Macaca mulatta: one gene and its partners. The protein of the gene in region 1 binds, or shares a complex with, the protein of each later gene. Links are inferred from orthologs where the notes say so. Each region holds a gene or a part of one and is shown in the gene's direction. Other genes may lie near its edges. The genes, in order: EID3, NSMCE2, NSMCE1 and NSMCE3.

Region 1 (7,511 bases):
TTTAAAATTTTGTTATATGGCAAATTTCTTTTCACTGGTATTTGTTATAGTGGAATATATTCCTGTGTTCCTCCTTACTGATTTAACCTTTAAAAATGTTTTTCTGAGCCGGGCGCGGTGGCTCACGCCTGTAATCCCAGCACTTTGGGAGGCCGAGGCGGGCGGATCACAAGGTCAGGAGATCGAGACCACAGTGAAACCCCGTCTCTACTAAAAATACAAAAAATTAGCCGGGCGCGGTGGCGGGCGCCTGTAGTCCCAGCTACTCAGGAGGCTGAGGCAGGAGAATGGCGTGAACCCAGGAGGCAGAGCTTGCAGTGAGCCGAGATCGCGCCACTGCACTCCAACCTGGGCGACAGCGTGAGACTCCGTCTCAAAAAAAAAAAAAAAAAAAAAAAAAAATGTTTTTCTGGGGCCAGGCGCAGTGACTCACACCTGTAATCCCAGCACTTTGGGAGGGTGAGGCGGGTGGATCATGAGATCAGGAGTTTGAGACTAGCCTGGCCAACATGGAGAAACCCCATCTCTACTAAAAATACAAAACTTAGCTGGGCATGGTGGCGCACGTCTGTAATCCCAGTTATTGGGGAGGCTGAGGCAGGAGAATCACTTGAACCCGGGAGGCGGAGGTTGCAGTGAGTCGAGATCACACCATTGCACTCTAGCTTGCACGTCTGTAATCCCAGCTACTGGGGAGGCTGAGGCAGGAGAATCACTTGAACCCGGGAGGCAGAGGTTGCAGTGAGTTGAGATCACACCATTGCACTCTAGCTTGCATGTCTGTAATCCCAGCTACTGGGGAGGCTGAGGCAGGAGAATCACTTGAACCCGGGAGGCGGAGGTTGCAATGAGTCAAGATCACGCCATTGCACTCTAGCTTGGTCGATCGAGTGAGACTCCGCCTCAAACAAATAAACAAAAAAAATTAAAAAAAATTTTTTTCTGGCCGGGCGCGGTGGCTCAAGCCTGTAATCCCAGCACTTTGGGAGGCCGAGACGGGCGGATCATGAGGTCAGGAGATCGAGACCATCCTGGCTAACACGGTGAAACCCCGTCTCTACTAAAAAAATACAAAAAACTAGCCGGGCGAGGTGGCGGGTGCCTGTAGTCCCAGCTACTCGGGAGGCTGAGGCAGGAGAATGGCGTGAACCCGGGAGGCGGAGCTTGCAGTGAGCTGAGATCCGGCCACTGCACTCCAGCCTGGGCAACAGAGTGAGACTCTGTCTCAAAAAAAAAAAAAAAAAAAAAAATTTTTTCTGTTCCTAAAGCAACATTCAGAAGTGAAACTACTGGTTTGTATATAGTTTTTAAATATTTGCTATCTTTGGGATTGTTTGATTTATTAAGTACCTACTTAGTAGTTGAAAACACTGTCAGATACATTACATAATTTTCATTCACTATAGTAATTATATGGTATAAATACAGTTGTCCCTTGGTGTCCTCAGGGGATTGGTTCCAGGACCCTTGTGTATACCCAAATTCATACACACTCAAGTCCCAAAGTCTGCCCTGTGCAACCAGCATATATGGAAAGTCAGCTCTCCATATTCACAGGTTTCACATCTCACAAATACGGTATTTCTTTATTTCTCACAAGCTTTTTCCTCTTTAAGGAGCAGGCAGACCTGGGTAAATGCTGTATTTTTTATCGCTTTGGTATAAGTGGATCTGTGCAGTTCAAAGCTGTTTCCTTCAAGGGTCAACTGTAGTAGTATTCCTGTCTTATAAATAAAGACACTGGAGGCTGAGAGGTTAAGCAAGCTGGCTAAGATAATACTAATAGCTAATAGGTCAAGATTGGAACCTAGATTGTCCCCTCCCACAGTCTGTGGTCTTTTCAAAAACAAATTTTCATTAAAAAAATACATCTGTCTTATCATAGCAAAGTTCACCTTTAATAATAAAAAACAAAGAAAACACAAAATATGTACACACAAACATAACTTTAAAGAAAATTAAGATGAAAGAGAAACTGCCAGGCATGGTGGCTCACGCCTGTAATCCCAACACTTTGGGAGGCTGAGGCGGGCGGATCACAAGATCAGCAGTTCGAGACCAGCCTGGTCAACTTGCTGAAACCCCATCTCTACTAAAAATACAAAAATTAGCCTGGTGTGGTGGCTCGCGCCTGTAATCCCAGCTACTTGGGAGGCTGAGGCAGGAGAATTATTTGAATCCGGGAGGTATAGGTTGCAGTGAGCTGAGATCATGCCATTGCACTCCAGCCTGGGCGACGAGCAAGACTCCGTCCCCAAAAAAAAAAAAAATTAAGATGGAAGAGAAACTATACCTAATGTCCTGCTAACTCTGGCAAATCAAACTAGGACTTTTACCACATGTCTTCACAACTCAATATTAAACAGATGCCCTGGTGGTATGAAGGAAGAAAAGCTGCTATGAAAGAAGGAATAGAAAAGTTTAGGGAGGTAGCTGATAGGATAAGTGTGTATGTTAGTGTGTGGGACTCAAACTTGACTGATTCCTGGCTTTGGCTCCAAAAAGTCTATTAAAAATCCATTTGTTATAGATAAGTCTTACAGCAAAATCTCACTGGAGAAAAATAGTGGACTCCATGTGACTTCTTCCTTTATTTGGTTACAGGGAGACATGTGACCTTTGTCATCCACCCTGTCACGTTTGTATTGAGCAGTATGGGTTGTGGAAAAGAGCTCAGAATGCTTGGAATTAACCTAAACTCCTAGAAAAGGAACTGAAAATATAGGAGAAAAGACTGAAGAAAAGAGGAAAGGAAATGGAGGGTTGTATTGAACCCTGACTAGCAACTCTTGAGCGAAGAAAGAGGAAAAGGGGGGAAGAGGGGAGCTAAATTATCTCTGAGGCAACTCAGTCTTATGGCTGCCTGAACTAGTCTATACTGTGGGAATAAGGTAGACTCCATCGATTGCTGTGAAGTACCAGTGCACTTCTTGCTCTCTATTCCTAGTCACAGACAAATTTATCAGCAGTGCAGTTTCTTCTTTTTAAGCTTCATTTAAATAATTATTAGTAGCACTTGGACCTTAGGTTAGGAAATCACTGTTTAATGATTTAAAGATTAACCAGCATGGAAATCCCATTCTTTATATGATTGGGGAAAATTATTAAACTTGAGATTGTTTCACTTTGTAGCAAATGTCTAAAGGCAGATTTTTTTTTTTTTTTTTTTTTTTTTGTGGAGTTGTTTCCCTCTTGTTGCCCAGGCTGGAGTGCAATGGTGCCATCTTGGCTCACCCGCAACCTCCGCTTCCCAGGTTCAAGCAATTCTCCTGAGTAGCAGGGATTACAGGCATGTGCCACCACGTCCAGCTAATATTCTATTTCTAGTAGAGACGTGGTTTCTCCATATTGATCAGACTGGTGTCAAACTCCTGACCTCAGGTGATCCACCCACCTCAGCCTCCCAAAGTGCTGGGATTACAAGTGTGAGCCACTGCGCCCAGCCTAAAGGCAGAGTTTTTTTTTTTTTTTTTTTTTTTTTTTTTTTGAGACGGAGTCTCGCTCTGTCGCCCAGGCTGGAGTGCAGTGGCGCGATCTCGGCTCATGCAAGCTCCGCCTCCTGGGTTTACGCCATTCTCCTGCCTCAGCCTCCTGAGTAGCTGGGACTACAGGCGCCCGCCACCGCGCCCGCCTAATTTTTTGTATTTTTAGTAGAGACGGGGTTTCACCGTGGTCTCGATCTCCTGACCTTGTGATCCGCCCGCCTCGGCCTCCCAAAGTGCTGGGATTACAGGCGTGAGCCACCGCGCCCGGCCTAAAGGCAGAGTTTTAAGGTGGAATATGATGCAAGTCTGCCTTTCTTAGGATGATCTAAGTTACATGTTAATAACGTACTTGGAGATCTAGCATAGAATGCACTCAGCACTGTAAATCACAACTTAATAATGCTTGCCTTGATATGCTCTGTTGCTCTGAGCAAATTGTGTGGGCTGTTATCTCCTGAGAAATCCCTGTAAATGGTATTAGTAATACTTTATAAGTAGGTTGGGAGAATATAGTTTTCTAAGGCATTTTGAAATTCTTAGATGAAAGGTTCTTTATTAGCAAATTGGTGTCAGCCTATTTTCCTTCCTCGGAGCCTGGAGAAAATAGGCACCATAGGGTGGGAAGGGTTGGCTTGTCTTCGTAAATAGCTATTGTTGAATTTAAAGTGGATGTGAGCAACTCCTAAGAATATCGTTCACTGTAAAAGCAGACTTTTTTGGATTTGGGTCTTGGCATTCTTAGCTGTATTTTCACCTAAGATTTAAAACAAGTTTAAATACTGGTTTGTAATTGGCCAGACTTGGGAAAGATATGATCCTTTAATGATCCTGGGTCTCAACTTACCTATCTCTCATTGTTTCTTTATTTCAGAAGAGGGATAAGAACTTTTTCTGAAGAGCAGTCAACTTTTCCTTTCAGTGTATAGGATTACTTCCACGAATCTGTGAACTTAATCTTTGCTGCCAAAAAACTTACAGTAGATGCTGGGACAGTTTTAAATCTATTTTAATTTATACATTCAGTACATAAGTGCATCCATGTAAAAACAGCTATGTTTGGAAGATGTAAAACCCAGCTTTTGTTTTTGAGAAGCCGACAATCTAATAGCATAGGATCATATATACGTACAACTAACCGTAATGCATGGTGTTTTGAAAAATGCATGTATTTCCCTGAATTACCCCTAGTTAATAAAATAATTGGGGGCAAATGGTAATATAAGGATTTTGGAGTAACTTAATACTACTAGATTTTGCTGTTTATGCATTTGCAAAAAACCTTCTGCTAATGCTAAATACGAACAAGTCTATCTGCATAAAGGATGGTAGGGCTAATTTACTTCCTGGTGCTGTGAAACTGGACAGGTGCAGTTGTGGGTGTCTTTTTTTTAAGGTGCACCTGCTGCAGGTTTGAAAAGCTGTTGATGCCCATGGTTTGGTTGTGTGCATGTTCTCTTTAAAAACCAGATGTATTAATTACAGTTGTTAAGTATACTTTGCTATTTGCTACTGGTGAGACAGATAAGCGGAGTCCTGTGGTTAACTGCACTTGAGTTTCCAGTGACCCCATTAAATCCAATGGGTAAATTTTCCAACGCAGATTAGTCACCCAGTTTACAGATTAAGCTTTCATATCCTTAGATTGTTTCTGAAATCTTCATAGCTTTGCTCACCTTTTAGGGTTCAGAGTTCTTACCCATTCAGTGTCGGTGGCCTTTATATGTTGGCAAGCTTACAAGCAAATAGCTCTTTTGCAGAGATCTCTACCCATCATTCTATTCTTCCACTCCTGGATGGTGGAGAACCAAAGTTCACTTGAGTAATGCGAGCACTCAGTTTCCTGCAGGGGTTAGCACGCATACTGGAGGCTCCCCCGACCCCACAGATCTTCGGGATGGGGTGATGGAGGGGGTTTGGTTTTTAAAGAGGACCTGTGAAAGTAATTAACCCGATTTACATTTGTATAATAAGTCTAAACACCACCTTGCAAAAGAACTGAGAGTTCAGCCTGTTTAATGGAGTTTCTGCTTTTCACGGGCCTTGGCCTTACCGGCGGTTACAGTCCAGCCAGATTTAGTTCACAAAAAAACAAAACCCTCGGTCGACCTCACTGCGGTATATGATGGCAGCGATCGTTTTAAAGCGCAGGACCTTTAGTGTCCTCAACAGTTTTGTCTCAAGTTGTCCAAAAGTGTTTTTTTTAAAGTGAGGTGATCCAGTCGGTAAACGCTTTGAAAAAGAACAGCTGTGCCCTGAGCGGGCATAACTCGCGTTTGGGGTCGGGGCCCATTATTGCGCGTGTTCGGAGCGCGGCGCTTGCCTATGAGCGAGCGCCTCGGGTCGTGGTGCATCCGGGCCGGGGCGGGGCTGTCTTCCCGCGGAGCGTGCTGGGGGCGGGTCGCGCCGGGCCGGGCCGCTAATGCGCATGGGCGGGCGTCCGCGGCTCCAACTGCCGCCAGTTTCCACAAGCTGGGAGGGCCGTTACCTCGGAGATACCAGTGGCCGGCATGTCGGTTGAAAAAGCTTCCCGCAAGGGAGACGACGAGAAAGGAGAGGAGCAGCTCGTGGTCATCCCTAGTAGCGAGTACGCGGCGAAGCCGGCGGCGGCGGAGGGAGCGCCGATGAAGATGGATGTGGCGGTGAGGGTCACGGGCTGCTCCGACGACCTCAGCTCTGGGGATGCCGACATAGACCCAAAACTCCTGGAGCTCACCGCTGACGAGGAGAAGTGCCGCAGCATCCGCAGGCAGTACCGGCAGCTCATGTACTGCGTGCGGCAGAACCGGGAGGACATCGTGAACTCGGCGAACAACTCCTTGACCGAGGCTCTGGAGGAAGCCAACGTCCTGTTTGATGGAGTGAGCCGAACCAGAGAAGCAGCCCTCGACGCCCAGTTTCTTGTCATGGCTTCTGACTTGGGTAAAGAAAAGGCAAAGCAGTTAAACTCTGACCTGAACTTCTTTAATCAGTTAGCATTTTGTGACTTTCTGTTTCTGTTCGGGGGTCTGAATTGGATGGAAGGCGAGCCTGACGACTTGAGTGATTGTGATGATAACATAGCTCTTTCCTTCTGGAAGGCAATGGAAAAGGAAGCAACATCCTGGATGGTAAAAGCTGAGACATTCCATTTTGTTTTTGGTTCATTCAAACTAGAACCTTCTGCACCAAAGCCCCGACTTGAACACCAGAAAAAAGTTCGCAAGATGGAGGAAAATGGGAATATGCCTACAAAGTTGCGGAAGCTGGACCTGAGTAGTTATCCAGAAGCGACAGAAAAAAACGTAGAAAGGATTTTGGGATTGTTGCAAACCTACTTTCGAAAGTATCCTGATACTCCTGTGTCCTATTTTGAGTTTGTGATTGATCCAAACTCTTTTTCTCGTACTGTGGAGAATATATTTTATGTTTCTTTTATTGTAAGAGATGGTTTTGCAAGAATAAGGCTTGATGAAGACAGGCTGCCAATATTAGAGCCGATGAATGTTAACCAAATGGGTGAGGGAAATGATTCCAGTTGCCATGGTAGGAAACAGGGAGTCATATCTTTGACTTTACAGGAGTGGAAAAACATTGTGGCAGCTTTTGAAATTTCTGAGGCTATGATTACATACTCCTCATACTAAAGATTTCTTAGTATAGGATCCTTTTTGTGTGTTTTTCTGAAGTTATCTCAAATGGAGAGTCAAATGTAAACTGAAGCACATATTGTATGTCTTGTAAAGTGAAAAAGTATCTTCAAGAACATCAGACATTGTTTTACTGTGCAGCATATTTTTCTTAGTAATTTATAAGGTCATGATCTTCTCTTATTAAAAAAAATTCGTTGGCATATTTATGGGAGCGTTTTATTGAATGCCCTTTAAGACTATTAACAAAAACAAGTTTTGGATACCAAATTAAGGGATATTTGATAATTTGCAAAACATAATAATTTACGAAAATCAATTATGATGCTCTGTGATACATTGCTTTCTCTGTCATAGAGAACCAAGAGAATCCCAGAAAGAGTTCCTAACCACGTTGGGG
Region 2 (7,505 bases), on another chromosome or scaffold:
CCCCTTGTTCCCAGCTTGACTGCAATGTTCTAAAAGCCCCAGAGCCAAAGGCAGCCAGCTATGCCCTACCCTCCTGACCACAGATACTATAAAGCTTATTGTCTTAAGCCACTAGGTTTTGGCACAGTTTATTATGCAGCAATAGATAATGATCCTGAGAATGGCATTCCAAGCAGAGGTTACAAGTAAGTGCAAAGGCCCCAGGGCAGGAATGTGCTAGCCGGCCAGCAAGGTGCCTAAAGTGGCTGGAGTAGAGTCAGCTAGGGGCAGAAACAGAAGAAGTAGACTGGATTGCATCTGAGAGCCAAGAAGCCACTACAGCTGTCTAGAACTCTCATGAAGGTACCCTCTGATACACATTAAGGCATACATTATTAACAAGTTCTTTTAGTTTCCTCTGTGATACTTGCTTGTTAAATCACACTGATCTCTAACAGGCTGAATTTCAGATAATTTCATTTCATTTTCTCCATGGATATGGTCTGGCTTGGGAAAGGAGAGAGGGAAAAGGGAAATAATGGACAATGGGCAAAACAGTCACCTCCTAAAGCCCTCTGAAGACCACCAAACTAACCCAGAAGGTCTAAGTAGGATGAAACTTTACACCAGGAGAGTCCAATCTTTGTCTTCCCTGGGCCATAGTGGAAGAAGAATTGTCCTGAGCCACACATAAAATACACTAACACCAAAAATAGCTGATGAGCTTAAAAAAAAACACACACACACAAAAAAACTCATGTTTTAAGCAAATTTACAAATTTGTCTTGGGCCACATTCAAAGCCATTCTGGGCCACATGCAGCCTGTGGGCCTCAGGCTAGACAAGCTTGCTCTAGACTCATGAAGAGGAGGGCAAGCGATGATTAACAGGTCCAAGAGCTACCTGATTTTGGATACCATGACAGGGCAACAATGTAGACCTGGGAAAAACATCTTAAAGCAAAGTAACATTACCTTCCCTTTACTCTACTCTCTCCCAACATACAGAAGGACAGACAGACTCAGCACCTGCATGCACACATTCAGGGAAGCTTCAGTCTGGGATAACGACCGAAATCAAGACTTTCGTGTGTCAATCTCTTATTTTAATCCTTAGGTCCTTACTCAAGAATTACATTGTAGACAACTTTAAAAGAACATGAGAAGGATAATAATAATCAAATATGTTTGGCAATAGTAAAACAAATATTATGGGTCTTTATTACCTACATAAATCGCCTTTCTAAAATTCAATATATAAACTTTATATTAAATTTTTAACGCGAAAGCAAAATATGTTATATTTAATATACTTTTAGTGAAATGAACTCACTGCTTGTAATCTGTTTGGCCCCATGAAGGGCACTTGTGTTTTCTATTTCTAATAATGCAAGCATCTCCTGCTAAGTTTTTGAAGATGGAAGAAGTTAAAACAAGATTAAATGAAAGAAGGAAATCACTTAGTTACATTTTACGTACTAGACCTCCTAACCTGGACTAGTTATATTTTCCATGTAACAAATGGAATTTCCATAATTTGCACAAATATAATTTGGCTAGAGTAATTGTTAAATAGCCCCCTCGTTGGCCGAAGGACTGGTCCTGAAGAACAGAATCTAAGAACCATCATTAAAAATGCCTAATCAAGTTGCAGCTAAGAGGTATGTGGATGGCTTTACAAAGTGTTAAGACTCAGTTAAGTCTTAAAAAACCACTTTAGAATTAGGTCCAATTAAACTCTGTAGAAGAAGCTATGGTAAATTATCCTTTCAGAGGTTCTCTTCGTGCTAGGGATTAAGAAAACTTGAAGATCAGCTCTCTCAATACAGGCTGTATTACTATCGGCATGAAATCCAGAGATCCCACTATATTCTCTTATTTTCTTTTACAAGCGCCAGTAACTTCATTTTTAAGAATTTGGCGTGGAACTGTGATTTTCAGTTTGGGAAGTAATCCTAATCAAAAGACATGCTGTCAAGAATGAGGCATGGCATCATTATACCAATTACCCAGAGTGCAGAATAATATTTCTTAAGGAAATCGAATTGTCGTGGACAAACACTGTTTACCCCCTTCAGAGGACAAAAGAAGGTAGGTCTATATTTAGCCTTTCGCAAAACCTCAGTTCCATAAAGGAAGCACTGATCTCCACAAATCCATTATCACAAACAAAATATAATGGTTGTCGGTCAGAATAAATGCAAGCTGCATATGTTTTCCAGAAAAGTTCTGACATGAGGCTGAACCTGAAATCCTGGGAAAGGCAGGTGAAGGACAATTAGAGAAGGTGTCCCTTGTTGTGCACAAAGACAGGAAAACTTCTCCCTCACTACCCTTCACCTATGTTTGAGGGAGCTCCATGCGCTTGCAATCAGGAGACCCAGTTCTACGACTCTGTGACTTTTTTTCTTTTTCCTGTCCGATCATAGAGGAATCAGGGCCTTGGGAACATTTCCCCCCCACGCAAAATGCAAAGGATTTTGGCATTAGCACAGGTGAAGGCATTAAGACGCAGCGAGCAGCAATGACTTGCCCAAACTCACAGCCCATGGCATAACTAGAATGCAAATCCAGGTCCGTCAGGCTGTAAAAGTCCTCACTACTAGCCTTTCAGTTTTCTCAAAAGCAAAGAGAGAAATAACGACGACATCCACACAGCAGTGTTCCCGGAAACTTGGAAGGATGAGATTCGGACCAAGCAGCCAGCTGAACGGTGCTTCCTAAAGCGAGGAAGGAGTGTGCAAAATGTTTTCCCCCTAAGCGGAGACGAAGAGCTGGACTGCAGCCCCCGCCCCAGAAAGCCCCTAAGCCCTCCATCCCGAGTCCCCCGTCCAGGCTGCACGCGACGCTGGAGACCTCCCCAGGGCCAGCGCGGCCCAGCGGGGAGGTGAAGGGGGCCATGCAAAAATGGGGTGCGCTCATCCCATCCCCACTCACCTGTCAGCCGGGCCGCGCCAGCGGCGCACGCGCAGGGCAGGAGGTTGCGCGCGGAGTCGGCACCCAGGTTCCACCCCTCCCTCACGGCGGCGGTCCTCTTCTATCCCCAGTCCCGGACCTGGAACGGGTCAGAGCCCGGCTTCCGCCCCTGACTTCCAGGACGGTCACATGACCGAAGCGGCGGTGAGCAGGGAGGGGCATCATGTGACCACTCGCCGGCGACGGATGATGACGCAAGAGCCCCCGCTCACTTTTCAGCTACAGGCGAAGGGGGCTGAGGAAAGGAGGTGGGTACAAGTAGGGGAAGTTGGGGTGCCACCAGACGGAGACAACTCGGACAACCAGGTAGGGAAGAAGCGGGGGACGGCAATGGGGAAGGTGGCGGGAATTGTCGCCTCCCTCAGGGACACTCCACGGGGACCCCGAGCCGGGAATTCGTCGACCTGGATTATGGTTGTGGCCCTTTTCACGCCACAGTAGTGAGTCTGGGACAGTTTACCCTCCTGTCCGAGGCGCCATCTCTCCATCCGTTAGCCACAAGTGTGTAAGGGCAAGATCACGAATTTTTGATCCAAATAGATGTGGTTTGAACTGACTTTAAAAGTAAGGCCACGGGAAGGTCGTTTGAATAAACTCTCTGGACCTCAGTTTCCTCTTCACTTATGTAGATTGCAGTGAGAATTAGCGATAAGGAGAATGAAGTGCCAGGACACCAGTTTATGGCATTCTGTAGGTGACCGAGAAATGATGATGTCTGTTGTTATTTTTGTAACTCGCCAAATCTTTATTGGTCCCCTATTTTGTGTGAAGAACTGCTTTATATGCAATAGAATATGTCAGGGTTCTAGTTTAAGGAGCTTTCAGTGTAAAGAAGCTGCAGACATGTGAGCAAATAGTTGTGATGAGTTTCATAATGGGAGTGTGTTGTGTACATGTGCATGTGATAGGAATAATGGTAGCATGAGGGAGGGAACAAGCAATTGTATGAGAAGGATTCAGAGAGAAGGGTATATCCTTGCATGCTGAAAAAGGAGAGGCAGCTCTGGCTGACTTGTACAAGGTTCCCGTGGATTTAAAGGAAGTCAGCATATTGTCTATAAATAACATGCAGAGAAAAAACTCAGGAAATGCACAACTTGTTCTAAACTTTCTTGGAGATCATAGGTATTGGGAAGAAAAGATCAGTGTTATTACATGGGAAGGGATCCAAGAGAGATTGATTTAAATCAGTTATTCTCAACTGATGCGCTATTGACATTTTAGGCCAGATAATTTTTTCCTGTGGGGTGGGGGTGAGGGCTGTCCTGTGTATTGTAGGACGTTTGAGAGTATCCCTGGCCTCTGCCCACTAGATGCCAACCATAATGTCTACAGATATTGCTACATGTCCCTTGGGAGAGGGGTAAAATCTTTCTTGGTTGAGAACCACTTAAACCAAGCCATGAGAGATGGTGTCTTAGTCAGTGTGGGCTTCTATAACAAAATGCCATAAACTAGGTAGTTTACGAACAACGGAAATTTATTTCTCACAGTTCTGGAGGCTGGAAAGTCCAAGGTCAGGGTGCCAGCAGATTTAGTGTCTGGCAAGGGCCTGTTTCCTGGTTCATAGGTGGCTTTTTGCTGTGTCCTCACACGGTGGAATGGCAAAGCAGCTCTCTGGAGCATCTTCTAAAAGGGCACTAATTTTATTCATGAAAGTGGGCCTAATCGCCTCCCAAAAGGCCCTACCTCCTCATACCATCACCTTAGGAGTTAGGATTTCAACATATAAATTTTGGGTGACACAAACATTCAGACTTTAGCATATGGGTAAGATGTGGGCAGATAGAAAACTGAAGAAAGAGCCTGGTGCGGTGGCTCACACCTGTAATCCCAGCACTTTGGGAGGCCAAGGAGGGCGGATCACTTGAGGTGGGGTGTTTTGAGACTAACCTGGTCAACATAGCGAAACCCTGTCTCTACTAAAAATACAATAAATAAATAAATAAATAAATAAATAAAATAACCAGTGTGTTCTGGCGCACACCTGTAATCCCGGCTACTCAGGAGGCTGAGGCAGGAGAATCCCTTGAACCCAGGAAGCAGAGGTTGAGGTGAGCCGAGATCATGCCACTGCACTCCAGCTTGGACGACAGAGCGAAACTCTGTCTCAAAAAATAAATAAATAAAAAGAAAGAAAACTGAAGAGATGGTTTTCTCACGGTGGGAGCAGGATGAACAAAGTCCTTTCTTCCTTTTTGGAGACAGCGTCTCACTCTTATTGCCCAGGCTAGAGTGCAGTAGCATGATCATAGCTTACTGCAGCCTTGGACTCCTGGACCCAAGGGGTCCTCCCACCTCAGCCTCCCAAGGGGCTAGGACAATAAGTGCAAGCCACCATGTCTGTGTTGTTTGTTTTTTTTTTTTTGAGATGGGGTCTCGCTGTGTTGCCCAGGCTAGTCTTGAGCTCCTGGCCTCAAGCAGTCTTCCTGCCTTGCCCTTTCAAAGTGCTGGGATTATAGGCATGAGCCACCGCGCCCAGCCTGGACAAAGTCTGGAGGTGAGTTCAAGAATATTGAGTATGAAGGGGAGAAGGAAACACGAGAGCTGTGCATCTGACCGAAGCAGTTTATTCATTTATTGATAGTTTCAGAGCACTTGCTGTTTATGAAGCACTGCGAACATCTTGCAAGATAGTCACTAACAAAGTAGAGTTACTGCCAAAGGCTATAATTATATCAAAGAGGGTGCTGTTAGAGTCAGAGAAAGGAGTTGTCTTTGACTTGTACTTAGCTGTATTTATTGGGAGGAATTGAGAAAAGTATATCTATTCCATCTTTCTGCACCATCCATTGTCTTTGCTTTTCAATTCAGTCTGTCTTAATCTTTTCCCTACTCCAGAATTACAGAAAAGCATGGTCATGTTTTCCTTGGTCCTCTGCAAGAGTGAAGTTTCACTCAAGTAATGTGAGTTTTGCATTCAACCAAGTAGTGACAACTACTGTTTGGTATATACTTTCCATTTATACTGGATTGCATTAATCTTCATAGATATTGTGTCTTTGTTCAAGCTACCATAACAAAATACCATAGACTGGGTGGCTTAAACAACAGAAATTCTGGAGGCCAGAAGTTCAAGGTGAGGTTGCCAGCATGGTTGAATTCTGGTGAGGACTTTCTTCTTGGCTTGTAGATGGCTTCTCTCTTTATGTGTCTTCACGTGATAGGGAGAGAGAGAGAGAGAACAGTCCCTGCCATCTCTTCATTTTCTTTTCTTTTCTTTTCTTTTCTTTCCTTTTTTTTTTTTTTTTTTTTGTTCTTTTGAGACAGGGTCTTGCTCTGTTGCCCAGGCTGGAGTGCAGTGGTGTGATCATGGCTCACTGCAGCTTCAACCTCCTGGCTCAAGTGATCCTACCACATCTCCTCCTGAGGAACTGGGACTACAGGCCTGCACCACTACATCCAGCTAATTTTTTTATTTTCAGTAAAGACAGGGTTTCACTTTGTTGCCCAGGCTGGTCTCAAACTCCTGGGCTCAAGCCAACCTCCCAGATTGGCCTCCGAAAGTGCTGGGATTATAGGCATGAGCCACCTTTCCGGCCAGATTTTAGGTAGTCAGTACGCATGTGCCTAGTGCCTATCATATTGCACAGTGCAGATCATAGAACATTTTCATCACAGAAAGTTCTATTGGACAATGCTCTCTAGACACTTTAGACTTATACTAGAATCAAGACCGACTAGAAAACAGAATACTTCTGCTGATCATGGTGTCTCATGCCTATAATCCCAGCACTTTGGGAAGCAGAGGCAGGAGGATCGCTTGAGCTCAAGAGTTTGAGACCAGCCTGGGCAACATAGGGAGATGGTCATCTCTACTAAAAATTAAAAAAAAAGAAAAAAAAAAATTAGCCAAATGTGGTGGTGCACACCTCTGGTCCCAGCTACTTGGGAGGCTAATGTGGGAGAATCACATGAGCCTGGGAGGTTGAGGCTGTAGTGAGCATGATCATGTCACTGCACTCCAGCCTGGGTGACAGAGCAAGACCCTGTCTCAAAAAAAAAAAAAAAGAAAACTGAGGCCGGGCGCAGTGGCTCATGCTTGTAATCCTAGCACTTTGGGAGGCCAAGGCAGGTGGATCACTTGAGGTCAGGAGTTTGAGACCAGCCTGGCAAACATGGTGAAACCCTGCCTCTACTAAAACTACAAAAATTAGCCTGGCATGTTGGTGGGTGCCTGTAATCCTAGCTACTGGGAAGGCTGAGGCAGGAGAATTGCTTGAACCTTGGAGGTGGAGGTTGCAGTGAGCCAAGGTAGCGCCATTGCACTCCAGCCTGAGGGACAAGAGCGAAATTCTATCTCAAAAAAAAAAAAAGAAAGAAAGAAAACTGAATACTTGAATTATATCATTTGGTCCTGGCAGGTTTGTATTTTTTTTATTAATAGTACTGTAACAAGTAAACCCCACAAGTCTAAATGGCTTTGCCCAGTTGAAGTTTCTTTCATGCATGGAGCCTGATAGGTGAGTAGTTTTCCTCCAAGTAGTGATGTAGGGCCTTGAGCTCCTTCCATCTGGTAATTCTCTATCATCAGTGTGTAGCTTTACTAAG
Region 3 (7,563 bases), on another chromosome or scaffold:
CAAGTTTATTTATTTTTGAGACAGAGTCTGGCTGTGTCACACAGGCTGGAGTGCAGTGATGCAATCTCAGCTCACTGCAACCTCTTCCTCCTTGGCTCAAGCTGTCCTCCCACCTCAGCCTCCTGAGGAGCTGGGACTACAGGCGATCGCCACCATGCCTGGCTAATTTTTTTTGTGTGTGTGTGTATATATATACACACAAATATACACACGTATATATATACACATATACACAAATATACATACCTATATACACACACACACACACACACACACATATATATATATATTTTTTTTTTTTTGGAGAGATGGGGCCTCACCATGTTGGCCATGGCTGATCTCAAACTCCTGAGCTCAAGCCATCCTCCCAGCTTGGCCTCCCAAAGTGTTGGGATTACAGGAATGAGCCACCGTGCCCAGTCAAAGATCAAAAACCCCAAGTTTAAATATTGATAATCAATAGAAAATTTCACAAAACCGTGTAGGGCAAACAAAACACAAATGTTACTCCTTAGGGCTTTATTTCCCCACTTATTTGACTACCTGTTGGGCAGTTTATAAAGTACTTATTAGTGGTGTTAGTTCACACTTATTGAGGGCTTACAATGTGCCACAGACAGTCTTCTAAGTAGTTTACATCTTCTCTTCCTTTAATCTTCAGAATAACACTATCAACAAAGTGCTATTATTAAACCTGCTTTATAGATGAGCAAACTGAGGCTGAGAACTTGAGTTCAGTCATCCCTTAGTATCTGTGAGGGATTGGTACCTCAGTCCCCATGGATACCAGAATTCTCGATGCTCAAGTCCCTTATATAAAATCAAAACTACCTTGGTAAAAAGCATAACTGAGAAAATTCTGATAGTGAAAGAGATCTGGCCTGACTCCATCTTGCTTCTAACTTCCAAGCTGTCCTTGATCATTCCTGGGCATAGGTTGAATTAATGTTGGAAAGAACTTAGTTCATAGTTTAACTTTGAAACAAAGGCAATAATAGTCCTTTCCCAAAACAAATCCCCTTCTTGCCTAGGGACGGGTCTGCCTTTGTAGACTAACAAATTAGCTAAAAGATTAGAAATTATGGTTTAGGAGGTCACGCAAGCTGGAGGCTGCAAGATTCTGACCCACCCCAAATCGCTTCTGGGAGTAACATCACTGTTCTAAAACCTAAAATCAGTGCTTGAGATATTTTGTAGAACCTGTGTTCTAACGCATCAGCTGACACCACCCAGCCCTGTAATCTGGCTCACCTGGTACTTTGGCCTTAACCCAGGAACTGACTCAGTGCAAGAGGACAGCTTTGACTCCTTTCCTCTCTAATCCGACCAATCAACACTCCCTAATCCCCAGTCCCCTACCCACCAAATTATCCTCGAAAACCCTGAATTTCCGGGGAGACTGATTTGAGTAATAATAAAACTGTGATCTCCTGTTCAGCCAGCTCTGTGTGAATTAAACTTTCTCTATTGCAATTCTCCTGTCTTGATAAATTGCTTCTGTCTGGGCAGCAGGCAAGGAGAACCCACTGGGCGCATACAAAATGGCAGAATATTTGCATATAACCTACGCAAATCCTCCAGTATATTGAAAGTCATCTTTAAATTACTTATACTACTTAATACAATGTAAATGCTATATAAGTAGTTGCTATGCTGTATTGCTTTCAGAATTTGTATTATTTTTATTTTTGTATTGTTATTTTTATTGTTTTTCCTCCACAAATATTATCCATCCGTAGATGGGGAACCTATAAACAGGGACGGCTTACTATACTTTGTCCTGTGTCTTGGAGATACTGAGTTTAAGGCCCAGGATTCTATGTTGACCATCCAGCTCCAAAGCTCAAGGTTTTAATCACCACACACTACTGCTTTCCCACTTGGCAGATGAAACTGAAGCCCAGAGAGGTTAAGAAGTTGTCCAACATCAGGCCGGGCGCGGTGGCTCACGCCTGTAATCCCAGCACTTTGGGAAGCCGAGGCGGGCGGATCACGAGGTCAGGAGATGGAGACCATTCTGGCTAATACGGTGAAACCCCATCTCTACTAAAAATACAAAAATTAGCCAGGCGTGGTGGTGGGCGCCCGTAGTCCCAGCTACTTGGGAGGCTGAGGCAGGAGAATGGCGTGTGCCCGGGAGGCGGAGCTTGCAGTGAGCCGAGATGGCGCCACTGCATTCCAGCCTGGGGGTCAGAGCGAGACTCCGTCTCAAAAAAAAAAAAAAAAAAAAAAGGTTGTCCAAGATCACAGGGGTGGTGAGTGACCAAGCCTGTATTTGAGTTATCCTCACAGAGACAGACATTTGCAGGTACCGCTGTTCTATATTAGTTACCTGTTTCCCTTGCTAGGCTGCATCCCTAGCTCTCAGACTAGGGATAGTATACAAACGTTTGGAAAATTAATGCCTTGAAGATTCAAAACAGTCTATTCACTTCCAAGAGTAATTTCACTTGCTTTCTCACAATCCCTAGGTAAGATAATAGTTAACATTTAATCAGCACTCCCATGTGACACTTTTCAGTGGCTATGCTAAGCACCTAAATCTCACCAACACTATTTTGCAAGGACTAATATCCCCATTTAATGGAAGAGGAAACTGAGGCTCAATGACTTGCCCAAGCTTCTGCCAACTAGTAAGTGGCAGAGCCAGGATTCTAGCTCAGGCTGTATGACCACAGAGTCCACATTTTTCTTTTGTTTTTTATGAGACTAAGTCTTGCTCTGTCACCCAGGCTCGAGTGCTGTGATGCGATCTGGCTTACTGCAACCTCTGCCTCTCGGGTTCAAGCAATTCTCCTGCCTCAGCCTCCCGAGTAGCTGGGATTACAGGCACACACCACCACGCCCAGCTAATTTTTGTACTTTTAGTAGTGACGGGGGTTTCACCATGTTGGCAAAGTTGGTCTCGAACTCCTGAACTCAAGTGATCGGCCCGCCTTGGTCTCCCAAAGTGCTGGGCCTACAGGCATGAGCCACCGCGCCCGGCCAGAGTCCACATTTTTGACGACGAGGCCACACTGTCAGTTCCACTGATGGGGAAACTGAGGCCCGGGGCAGGGCACTACATTGTGCCGGCGGAATCGTGGCCAGTGGGGGAAGCACGGGCTACGCGCCGATTCTTCCTCCTTGGTCAGGGAAGTCACTGAGGTGCAGGAGGCGGAGGGCGACAAGTGGAAGCCCCTTCCCATTATTAAGGATGGAGAGCGGCGCAGTAATTGGGATCTAACCCACGAGGCGGAAACACTAGGGAAACGGCGCAAACGGAAAACCGGAAGTGCGTCACCCAACGGACGGGCGAATCGTCTGCAGGCCACCAACGGGAACGCCGCGTTCGCGTTCGCCCCGCCCCAAAGGAAGAAGAGTCCGCCTTGCGACCGTATCCGCTAGCTCAGCGCGGGTTGCGCTTGGGCACCCTGGTGGGTAACGCGGCGCGCTAGGGGGTAGAGGGGAAAGAAGAGGGACTTCGAGGAAGGCGAGGGGAGGACGGAAGGTGGGGTGGGCGAGACAGGCAGTGGGGTCTGGCCCCGTGGTCTATCCTCGTGGGCTGTGGAACTCGGGGACGGGGGTCTTGGGGCTCCCCCTTCTTGATGGGGAAACTGAGGCCCAGAGAGGGGCCGCAGAAGGCAGCGGACTGGGATCTCCTCCCACAACACACACAAAGACATCTAAAAATCGTACTATTTAGTGAAAAATATTTTTAATCGTAATTACGATTTAACAGGTAAGGATACTTTTCATTGTAATAGGTGAAAAAGCAAAATATAAAATTCGATTCAAACTGTGATTACATCTATGGAAAACACAGCCTTCGCCGACCACCCTGTCTGTCCCGCCGCCCTCCGTGCTCCCCTCTGTTTTTGTGTACGGAGTTTCTCACTTTGTACAAGTCCGCAGCCGCTTGTGTTACAGCCCCGAGGCCAGATGCGTTTAAAATCGAGGATTTCTCGGACTTTGGAAAGGTAAAGTGCGTATGTTCTATGTTAGGTTTCACCCTCAGTGGGGGCTGGAGCAGCGGCTTGCAATCAAATACACGACCCTTTCCACAGCTAAAGATATGAAGATATGCATATATTATATTGACCGGGTCGCGGTGGCTCAGGCCTGTAATCCCAGCACTTTGGGAGGCTGAGGCGGGCGAATCACCTGAGGTCCGGAGTTCCAGACCAGCCTGGCTAACATGGTGAAACCCCGCCTGTACTAAAAATACAAAAAATTAGCCGGGCGTGGTGGCGCGTGCCTGTACTACCAGCTACTCGGGAGGCTGAGGCGGGAGGCTGAGGCAGGAGAATCACTTGAACGAGGGAGGCGAAGGTTGTAGTGAGTCAGGATCGCGCCACTTCACTCCAGTTGGGGCAACAAGAGCGAAACTCCGTCTGAAAAAAAAAAAAAGATATGCATATATTTACACTGTTGGGATAAATAACCATGGATAGCCTCACCTTAAGTCAGGTCAAGTTCTCCAACGTAAGAAACAAGTTTTGGTATTCAGACTTTTTTTTTCCCCTGCATCTGATCATCCACTAGTATTCATACCTTTTTAGATTTGAGGGTTGCAGATGAGGGACCTGGATTGTAGCTGTTCTGTTCACTCACTTTTCTCACTCTCACTGGATAAGAGAGTGTCTTTGAGAACAGGAACCGTGCTGTTGTATGGTCACGTCTCTCTCTGCCACCAACTCTTGTGTGTCACCTTGTGCCCTTTTAGTCTCAGTTTCCTCATCTGTAAGATGGGGTCAGTGATCCTTTGCTCATAAGGTGCTGGTTGGGGTTAAATGATGTCGTGCATGTGAAGCACAAGAATTGTGTTAGCACCTGCACGAATGGTATGACTGAGATTTACTTATTCCACAAACATTTATATTTCAAAATTATTAAATTTAAATAAATGTATTATTAAATGAATTAAATGCATTAATTAATTAAAAGTATAGATGTATTTCTTAAAATGTGGGTGATAGGAATGTTAAAGATTTATATAATGCTTCAAAGCCTTAGAAAAGGTTTTCTTTAGTTGGTTTATCTGTATATCTGAACTCTTGAAACTTAAAGCTAAAATACTAGGATTTATCTGCAGGGTTGCAGAGAGATAATTCTGCCTTAAATTGTCTAAAACAAAAACAAAACAAGACAATATGTTATACATGGGATTAAAACCAATTTTTCTCCCATTTTTTCTCCTTTTTTCTTTTGCTGCCCACATTGTGCCTTTATTTTATGAGCCCCATTTTTCTGGGCTTAGTTAAAAAAAAAATTCAATTCTAAACGTTGAATTTAGGGAGTTTTTGTTCTTAAATAAAAAGGCATAGACTTAAAAAAAATAAATGTTTATCCAGGAAAATATGTTGAAATCATGCTGCTGAGCCTCTATTTTCTTTGATGTTTTGGTTCGGTATTCTTTTATCATAAATTCTTAGCATTTAAAAATTTACTGATGTACATTTAAAGCCAATAAACTTTTAATTAATACAAATATATATATATATATATATATATATTTTTTTTTTTTTTTTTTGTGATGGAGTCTCACCCTGTCACCCAGGCTGGAGTGCAGTGGCGCGATCTTGGCTCACTGCAACCTCCAGCTCCTGGGTTCAAGCGATTCTCCTGCCTCAGCCTCCTGAGCAGCTGGGATTACAGGCGTGCACCACCATGCCTGGCTAATTTTTGTATAAAATAGAATTATTTAAGTAGGTGATACATGTATGTCTATGGCTAATCCCACCATTCTCTCCACAGTCTCTTCTCATAGAGACAAGGGATACAATATGCATAAACAAACTTATGGTTGTCTTTCTTCCACTCCTACTTTCCCGCCCCTTTTCCACCAAATCATAGCATTCAATCATATCTTGTTCTCATTCTCATTTACATTTATTTTGGCTGTTATTTAACATATTCACGTAACTTTTTTTTTTTTTTGTGGAGAGTGGATCTTGCTATGTTGCCTAGGCTGGTCCTAAAGTCCTGGTCTCAAGCAGTCCCCCCACCTTGACCTCCCAAAGTATTGAGATTACAGGTGTGAATCACCATGCCCGGCCCATCACATTTAAAAACATTGTATGTAACATACCTATACAATTGTGTGGAAGTATAAGTTTGAAGGACAAAAATGAAATGAACGCTCATGTACCTGCCACCAAGTTAAGAAATAGACATTTTCAGATCCCCAAACCCCCCACTGAATCCTTTCTTCCCTCCTCAAAGATAACTACCACTCTGAATATTGTGTTACTTGTTCCTTTGTTTTGCTTTGTAGTTTTTGCGATGTATGTTCGTATCTCTAATGAATATAATGTATGCTTTTGCTGAGTTCGATTTTATATGATAGGATCCTAAAATATATTTTGTGTGACTTGCTTCTTGCACTTAACGTTATCTTTTTGAGAAGCATGTGTGTTGATGTGAGGAGCTCTACTTTATCTTCATTGCTGATTTGAATTCTATGAGATAATTACATTGTTTTAATGTAGTTCTTCAGTTGGTAGTCATTTATACTGTTGCCAGACTTTTGTTATTACACGGTGCTTCTGTAAAAACATATTTCCTAGCGCAAAAGTGGAAGTTTCTGTAAGGTATATACCTAATAGATTTCTGGGGATATGCAAATTTGCTAGTAATATCAACTGTTATCTGAAATGGTTACAGTAATTTATACTCAGCCTGGTGTGGTGGCTCACACCTGTAATCCCAGCACTTTGGTAGGCCAAGTTGGGTGGATCACTTGAGTCCAGTAGTATGAGACCAGCTGGGGCAACAGGTGAGACCCCATCTCTACAAAAAATACAAAAATTAGCTGGGCATGGTGGTGTGTGCCTGTAGTCACAGCTTCTAGGGGGGTCTGAGATCAGAGGATCGACTGAGCCCACAAGGTCAAGGCTGCGGTGAGCTATGACTGTGTCATTTCATTCCAGTCTGGGCAACAGAATGAGACCCTATCTCAAAGAAAAAAAAAAAAAGAATTTATACTCTTCCTGCAACAGATGAAAAACAGATGAAAGTTTCAGCCTAAGCCTCAGACATTCTTTTAAAATTTTTGCCTATCTGGTGTTGGCTAAGACATTCCTTCACTGTGGTTTTAATAATCATTTATCTGATAACATTGAGATTGAGCATCTTTTTTCTGTATTTATTCATCATTTATGCATCCTCTTTTTGTAAAATTTCTGTTGCCCATTCCTCTTTCACAGTTGCCTTTCCCATGCTGATTTGTAGGAATTCCTTATATAGTCTGAATATGAATCTTTTGTATTATGTAGCTTATGTTTGTTTTAAATACCCTCCAGTTGTATCCCCTAACCCCCACCTTTCTGGTATTTTTGGTGAATACAGGCCCTTAACTTTAACAAAAGTCAAATTTATCAGTATATTCCTGTATCACCTGTAATTTTTGTATCTCTTAAAGAAATCTTTCCCTACCCTCAGGTGATAAATATATTCTGTATATTGTCTAAAAGTCTTAGAGTATTTTTCCTTATTATGACCTTATCCCTTCAGAATTGATGTTTGTGTATAGTGTGAGGTAAGAATCAAATTTTACTCATTTTTTTCACATATGGATAACAA
Region 4 (6,863 bases), on another chromosome or scaffold:
TCCAATCAAGTTGACACTCAACATTAATCGTTACATGAACCTATGATAAAATTTAATTTAGGCCAGGAGCGGTGGCTCACGCCTGTAATCCTAGCACTTTGGGAGGCTGAGGGATGGATCACTTGAGGTCAGGAGTTCGAGACCAGCCTGGCTAAAATGGTGAAACCCCATCTCTATTAAAAATACAAAAAAATTAGCTAGGCATGGTGGTACACACCTGTAATCCTAGCTACTCAGGAGGCTGAGATGGGAGGATCTCTTGAACGTGGGAAGCGGAGGTTGCACTGAGCCAAGATCGTGACACTGCACTCCAGTGCAGTGGCATAAGAGTGCGACTCCATCTCAAAAAAAAAAAAAAAAAAGGTTTCATTTATAAATTAGTCACAGTAGAGATTAACAATAATTAATGAGAAACAAAAATGAAACCTTAAGCCCTCCAGCTGACTGAACAGACCCCTTCTTGACCAAGGGGACCCCAGAATAACCTTGGAAACCCTCTCCCGCTCTAAATGCCATTCGGCTTTCTTCCCTAAGCGCTAAACAGAAATCAGCCCTTCAAGACTCCACCGCTGGTATCAACCAGCCACCTGATGCTGCCCCTCCCTTTTGGAGTTTTGGCACAACTGCCCAGCAGTTCTTCCTGGTAAAAGACTACCAACCATGGAGTAGTTAGGGCCAGTCTATGGAAGACATGCAGTCAGGGTTTTCATGTCCTCTGCTTCACCTTCTGATATCAGAGGGTCCGAAAACTCCTACCCTGGATCATGCTAACACTGCCAGTTTTGGAATATGGGTCCCATGGAGAGGCATGAAGTGCAGTTGCGCATGTGCACGTTTCTCCTTGCGTAAATATTCATGACTCCTCCTATAGCTTATTAAATATGTATACTTGGCCACCCCACTCTGCATAGATTCGTGCTCCCTTTGCCCCTCCGTTGAAGTGTCTGTTTCTGGCTTCTAGCATGAGGTTTTGCTTCCCAGGCTGTTGGAATGGCCACCCTGCAGACTGCAACCCTCTATGAGAAATAAAGCTCTTTCCAAATTTATGAACCTCATCATCCTTCAGTTGACACTAACAATAAAGTAGAAAAAATATAATATAGTGTAATAAGTTATATTGTGATTTCTCTCTGAAAATATCTTAATATTTTCAGACTGTTGACTGCAGGTAACTGAAACCAAAGAAAGTGAAACTGCAGACATGGAGATGGAGCAGCAACTACTATATAATCATTGACTGTTGTCGTTTATATTATTGTTACTAATGTTAGTATTGTTTTCACCAGTTTCTCCCCAAACATCCATAGCTTCCAGTATTAATCCAAGGTGGAATGTGGGTCTTCTTCTCCATGCAGAAGAATGTGGGACTTCTCCATGCAGGGCCTAAACTTCATTCTAATACTAACGCTAATACTAATACTAATACTAATTCTAATTCTAATACTCTTATTTTATGTGTGCATTTTCTCACCTGCATTCCTCTGGACATGGCGTAGACAGATGTTTTCAGACTTACAAACTGGCATCTCTTCTCCTCTATTTTGAGTAATGACAGTCTGCTGTCTAGGTAAGAGTGCTGCTAGAGGACACTGCTGATTTTCACAGTCATGGGGGTAGCCTGATTGGTGGACTGCTTGGTGACGTAAGTGAATACCTTAGCAAGAAACAGCATTGAAAAACCAGCCCAATTGTTGACAATAGCTTTTATTTAATTTTCCACTTTCCCCTTATATCTTGGTCACCGAACTTTTTTGACTCAAGGTAGACCATCCGCATCCTGTGGTAGGGACCTTTTGCAGAATTCTAGATGGCAGGAAGCTTTTATGAACCTAAGTCCAAATTTTAATTTGCAAGGAAACTGAAGCAGATGAATTTTCTCATTGTAAAAAAATGAATACCTTGATAATATATTTGTTTTTCGTAGTAGGCCTTTGTCATTAAGCTTGATGCCTGAGGATATAGTTGTATCTTGTGTGGAACAGTAAGTTATTACTCACTGCGTATCAGATTTTAGCATACTTGCATTAGTTCATGGAATATGATTTTACATTTACTATAGCAGTTCCAGTGCCATTATCAGATTGCATTTTCCTACTGAATTACAAACAAATGTGTTATGCTACTAACATTTAACAAAATTTTAATAAGGTTGTGTTTGATGCTATTATTCAGATAATGTGTTCTAAATTGCTTTCCTTTGAATATATTTGCATTAAAGAGGAACTCGATTTGGTTCTTTGAAGAGTTTATCCACTTTCTGGGTAGCTTTAAAAAGACACAGGGAAATTCAGTTTCTTCTTTGCAAGTCAATAAATAGAGAAGAAACAAATTTGCTAAGATCTATAGAAGTAATGGCAGCAGATTGCTGATGGTTTGAGTTAATGAAATGACTCATTTTGGCTACTTGAGTTGCACAATTAAAATATACATAGACTGCACACATCATAGATGAGGGATAAATACCCTTGTGTTCTCTTTTCTTTCTCAAAGCTAATATATTATGAATTAAGAAATTTAAGAGATCCACATTATTGCAATTCTTGATCAGTGATGCCCAAAATTAAGTGGTAATCTCTTGAGAGTGCACGTTTGCAGCATTCCTCTTACGCATTTCTGCTAAAATTGTGGCTGTGAGCCGAAGACAGTTGTTTTCCAAAGGATAAACTCATTTGACCAAGCTAAAACATTTACTTAATATTGACAAGTTTTGTGGGGTTTTCTCATAGTTGTCTAGCTAAAGGAGTTTAATGCAGAGAATACACATACGGAAATAGTGAAACCGAAGTCCTGCTTGCGCGGAAAGCCTGCAGCAGACTTTTGTTTTTAACAAACTCCACGGGGCATTAGAGAAAGTAACTGGGGGCAGTGGGTTGGAGGGTATAAAATTGAGCGGAGGGACGAAAACTAAGAGCCCTCTGGGTTTTTTATATCCTTCTACATGTTGTGTAGAAATAAATGCTTTTACTTCCACGGTCGTACCTTCCTCTTCACCTTTTTTTTTTCTTTCTCACACATTCATCCTGTGAGATCTTTTCATTTACAAATGCTCCCGATTTAGAATTAGAAACTCATAATACCGTCTGTAAAACTTGCCTGAGCCTGTCTGGTCCTGAATTTAGCGACACACTTGTTTAGGAGTTTCGGTTCTCGTTCTCTGCTTGCATGGTTTAGTAAGAACAACACTTCGATATACTGAAATTCACCGACCAGACCTGCAGGGCTGCACAGAAATATCTGATGCTTTTGGTACCCCCAGCCCCGCAGCCGCGCAGGCGCACCGCCCAGCCGCCGTGACGCAAGGCGCAGGCTTCATGACGCGGCACGCAGTCTCAGCCGACACTGCGCGCCCCTTCTGGGGCCCCGCCCAGGCAGCGGCCTTAGCGGGTCGCCGACCCACGATCCCAGCCGCGGCTGCTTGCTTGCCGGAGTGTGCACCGGTACGCGTCGCCGGTGACATGTTGCAAAAACCGAGGAACCGGGGTCGCTCTGGCGGCCAGGCCGAGAGGGACAGCGACTGGAGCCGTGGCGGAAACTCCGGGGCCTCGCGGGCGGGCGAACACGCCCGGGCCCGCAGAGACGGCTTCGCAGAGGAGGCCCCGAGCACTTCCCGGGGGCCGGGCGGCTCGCAGGGGTCGCAGGGCGCCCGCCGGTCCCAGGCCTCCCCCGCCGTGGGCCCCAGGACCCAGAAGCAGCAGGAGCTGAAAGTGTCCGAGCTGGTGCAGTTCTTACTGATTAAGGACCAGAAGAAGATTCCGATCAAGCGGGCCGACATACTGAAGCACGTCATCGGGGACTACAAGGACATCTTCCCCGACCTCCTCAAACGGGCCGCCGAGCGCCTCCAGTACGTCTTCGGTTATAAGCTGGTGGAACTTGAACCCAAGAGCAACACTTATATCCTCATCAACACCCTGGAGCCGGTGGAGGAGGATGCCGAGGTGAGGGGTGACCAAGGCACGCCCACTACGGGCCTCCTGATGATCGTCCTGGGGCTCATCTTTATGAAGGGCAACACCGTCAAGGAGACTGAAGTCTGGGACTTTCTGCGGCGCTTAGGGGTCTACCCCACCAAGAAGCATTTCATTTTCGGAGATCCAAAGAAACTCATTACCGAGGACTTTGTGCGACAACGTTACCTGGAATACCGGCGGATACCCCACACCGACCCCGTGGACTACGAGTTCCAGTGGGGCCCGCGAACCAACCTGGAAACCAGCAAGATGAAAGTTCTTAAGTTTGTGGCCAAAGTCCATAATCAAGACCCCAAGGACTGGCCAGCGCAGTACTGTGAGGCGTTGGCAGATGAGGAGAACAGGGCCAGACCTCAGCCCAGTGGCTCAGCCCCATCCTCTTGAAATCTGAGGTGGATTCAGAGGGACCCCCGGGACAAGGGTCTGAGACCCAAAGGCACAGTGCAGAGGAGCGGGGGAAGGGAGAACGAACCCAGGAAGCGTATTTCTGTAGCGTTTCAATGTGTGTAGCTTTAGGATGTGTTTGCAAAGTTTTGTTCTTTTAATGTTGTGTTATTTGGTTCCAGATTTTCATCTATAAACAAAAGAGCATTTGTTTTGCTTTGATTTTACTTTTTTTGGTATAAAAAATTTTCCTAGCTTAGTAAAACGAATTGGAAAACTTGACTATGATCTGAAACAGATATGCCAGAAGGAACACATAAGTAAGTTGCTTTGGTGCCAAGAAAATAAAAAAGTAGCTATTATCGGGTCTCTTAAGCATCCCAGTTTGTAAGGAAAAATAAAAGTCTTTATAAAATTAAAAATAAAAACGTAATTGCCTATATCCTTATTACCTTAACCTATTTTATTTTTTCTATATTTCCTACATATGTAAGTATTATTCATGGTTCCAAGCAATGAACGTGGTGTATTTTCTCCAAATAGCAATTGTTTATATTCATAATTACTCAGCTGTGTTGCTAAACATGCAGTTCCACTTAGTTTTTTTTACATGCTACTCTAGTTATTACAATAAATACTGTATTTTTGAAGCACTGAAGCATTGTGTGTGTTTTAAATCGTGGGCCATGAGACAATTTCATGACGAAATCAGCGTCTTAAAGTTTTTGCAACATATTGAGGTCAATGTTGTTTTGTAGAAGTTGTTTTACTTTTGTGTGTGTGTGTACAGGATCATGAGGTAAAATATATTTCTACTGTGGATACCAAAAAGGCTTATAAAACAATAGCGTAACCATTAACCATGCCTGCTTGGGAATCAGACTGCCTGGGTTCAGATCCTGGCCCCACCGTCACTAGTATAGGAATTTACGTAGGTTCCTTAGTTTGTATGCAGATGTTTCTTGACCTGTAAAATGGGTTTAGTCCCTGATGTGGAGGAATTTGCTTGTTATTCTTTAATGTTTTTATTTTTTATTCTCGGTCTGGAGCTGCCACTTTTTAAATACAACTTTTCTTTATCTTGTTTTCCAAATGATTCCTAGGAGAGCAATTACTGGTTCAAAAGGTATATTCCACTAGTCTGACTCTATTGTATGGGGAAATAAGTATAAAGTGTATGGTGAGTATAGCCCACATAGAACAGTGAGAGCAGGACATAAGATCAACCTCATAGGGAGTTAGGTATAGGGAAAAGGTGTGGGTCTTGGGGCTGTCTGGCAAACTGAATTTGAATTACGGCTCATGCTAACTTGTCAGCATGGTGATATGGTGGTAGGTTTTAAGCTGTCTGAATCTCAGTTTCTTTACCTGTAAAATGAAAAAAATTATAGCTATATAATAGTTTGTTTTATGGACTAGATGAACTAGAAGAGTTCATAGTCCCATTGTATTCCTCCATTACATGTAGCAGATGCTGTTTTTAATGCAGAGATTCAACACGTTTTATTCAGTGGGTAAATAAGTATAATTGTTTTAGGGGGAGGTGCTGCAAATTAACCTTGAAATAAGGCAGATATTTTTCACTCGGGGGGGGAAAAAGTGAACTTCATCAACACTGGACTGAATGTCATTTAAAAGAGTCTATAGTGAGTATGGAGGAATGTGATAGGTTGCTGGGTTTTATTTCATTCTGTTGAATTGGGATTTGCCTTTGTTTCATCAGTGGAAGATGTTTGGTCCTTATAGGCATTTCTTCTTGATCTGCATTTTATTTCAGTGTATAAATTGCTTCCTGCCTCCTGGTCCCGTGACCTCCCTGACTCAGCTTTCTCCTCCTCGTGCCCTCTGATACTCACATTCTCACCTGTATAATAAAAATTGTTACCCTGCAGTCACCACCGGTTATATCTGAGGCAAAATTCCCTCCGCTTTTCTCAGAGGTGTTAACAATTTACCATCGATAATCTTGTTTCAAATTTTAAAATATGAAACATAAGAGGCCACATCAAGGCCTTATATCTTTTCCTTCTCACCCTCCCCAGAGATAACAAAAGTCTGCGGCTATCGGGCTGTTGTATGACTGTATAATTTTACTACACATGTATAGATACATAACCAATATAGAGTTTTATTTTGTGGGCTTTCATGATTTATATAAACGGTATTACGTGTGTCCTTATGCAACTTGCTGTTCTCACTCACCATTATGTATTTGAGATTCAGCCATGTGGATATATATAGACCTGATTCACTCATTTTAATTGTTCTTTTATGGGGGAAAAATAACTTTATCCATTCCTTAATGGCTAGACAGTTAAGGTCTTTCCAGTTCTTTGAGATTTGCAGGCATTGTACAGTACTTCTTTAGGCACATGTGTGAGTTTCTCCAGCCAGAAACAAATGGAGCAATCAGGGACTATTGCCAAACTGTTCTTGAGCTTGTGTCAAGTTACACTCCTACCAACATTTTACACAGTTTTGTTTTGTTTTTGTTGCCAATCCCTCAAC

What was found.
Region 2: EID3 (region 1) and NSMCE2 share a complex: the UniProt entries of both Homo sapiens proteins name them as parts of the SMC5-SMC6 complex. The link is inferred for Macaca mulatta from reciprocal best matches to the Homo sapiens genes EID3 and NSMCE2.
Region 3: EID3 (region 1) and NSMCE1 share a complex: the UniProt entries of both Homo sapiens proteins name them as parts of the SMC5-SMC6 complex. The link is inferred for Macaca mulatta from reciprocal best matches to the Homo sapiens genes EID3 and NSMCE1.
Region 4: EID3 (region 1) and NSMCE3 share a complex: the UniProt entries of both Homo sapiens proteins name them as parts of the SMC5-SMC6 complex. The link is inferred for Macaca mulatta from reciprocal best matches to the Homo sapiens genes EID3 and NSMCE3.

What each region holds. Positions count from the first base shown.
Region 1 is NC_133416.1:111,527,578-111,535,088, forward strand, and holds EID3 (EP300-interacting inhibitor of differentiation 3), read left to right. Parts: upstream 1-3,156; 5' UTR 3,157-5,992; coding exon 5,993-7,108; 3' UTR 7,109-7,314; downstream 7,315-7,511. UniProt on the Homo sapiens protein: Tissue-specific component of the SMC5-SMC6 complex, a complex involved in repair of DNA double-strand breaks by homologous recombination.
Region 2 is NC_133413.1:135,523,786-135,531,290, forward strand, and holds the start of NSMCE2 (E3 SUMO-protein ligase NSE2), read left to right. Parts: upstream 1-3,164; 5' UTR 3,165-3,202; exon of another isoform or gene 3,203-3,260; intron 3,261-7,505. UniProt on the Homo sapiens protein: E3 SUMO-protein ligase component of the SMC5-SMC6 complex, a complex involved in DNA double-strand break repair by homologous recombination. Is not be required for the stability of the complex.
Region 3 is NC_133425.1:26,812,976-26,820,538, reverse strand, and holds the start of NSMCE1 (non-structural maintenance of chromosomes element 1 homolog), read left to right. Parts: upstream 1-3,349; 5' UTR 3,350-3,959; exon of another isoform or gene 3,960-4,046; intron 4,047-7,563. UniProt on the Homo sapiens protein: RING-type zinc finger-containing E3 ubiquitin ligase that assembles with melanoma antigen protein (MAGE) to catalyze the direct transfer of ubiquitin from E2 ubiquitin-conjugating enzyme to a specific substrate.
Region 4 is NC_133412.1:9,159,238-9,166,100, forward strand, and holds NSMCE3 (non-structural maintenance of chromosomes element 3 homolog), read left to right. Parts: upstream 1-3,361; 5' UTR 3,362-3,455; coding exon 3,456-4,355; 3' UTR 4,356-4,963; downstream 4,964-6,863. UniProt on the Homo sapiens protein: Component of the SMC5-SMC6 complex, a complex involved in repair of DNA double-strand breaks by homologous recombination. The complex may promote sister chromatid homologous recombination by recruiting the SMC1-SMC3 cohesin complex to double-strand breaks.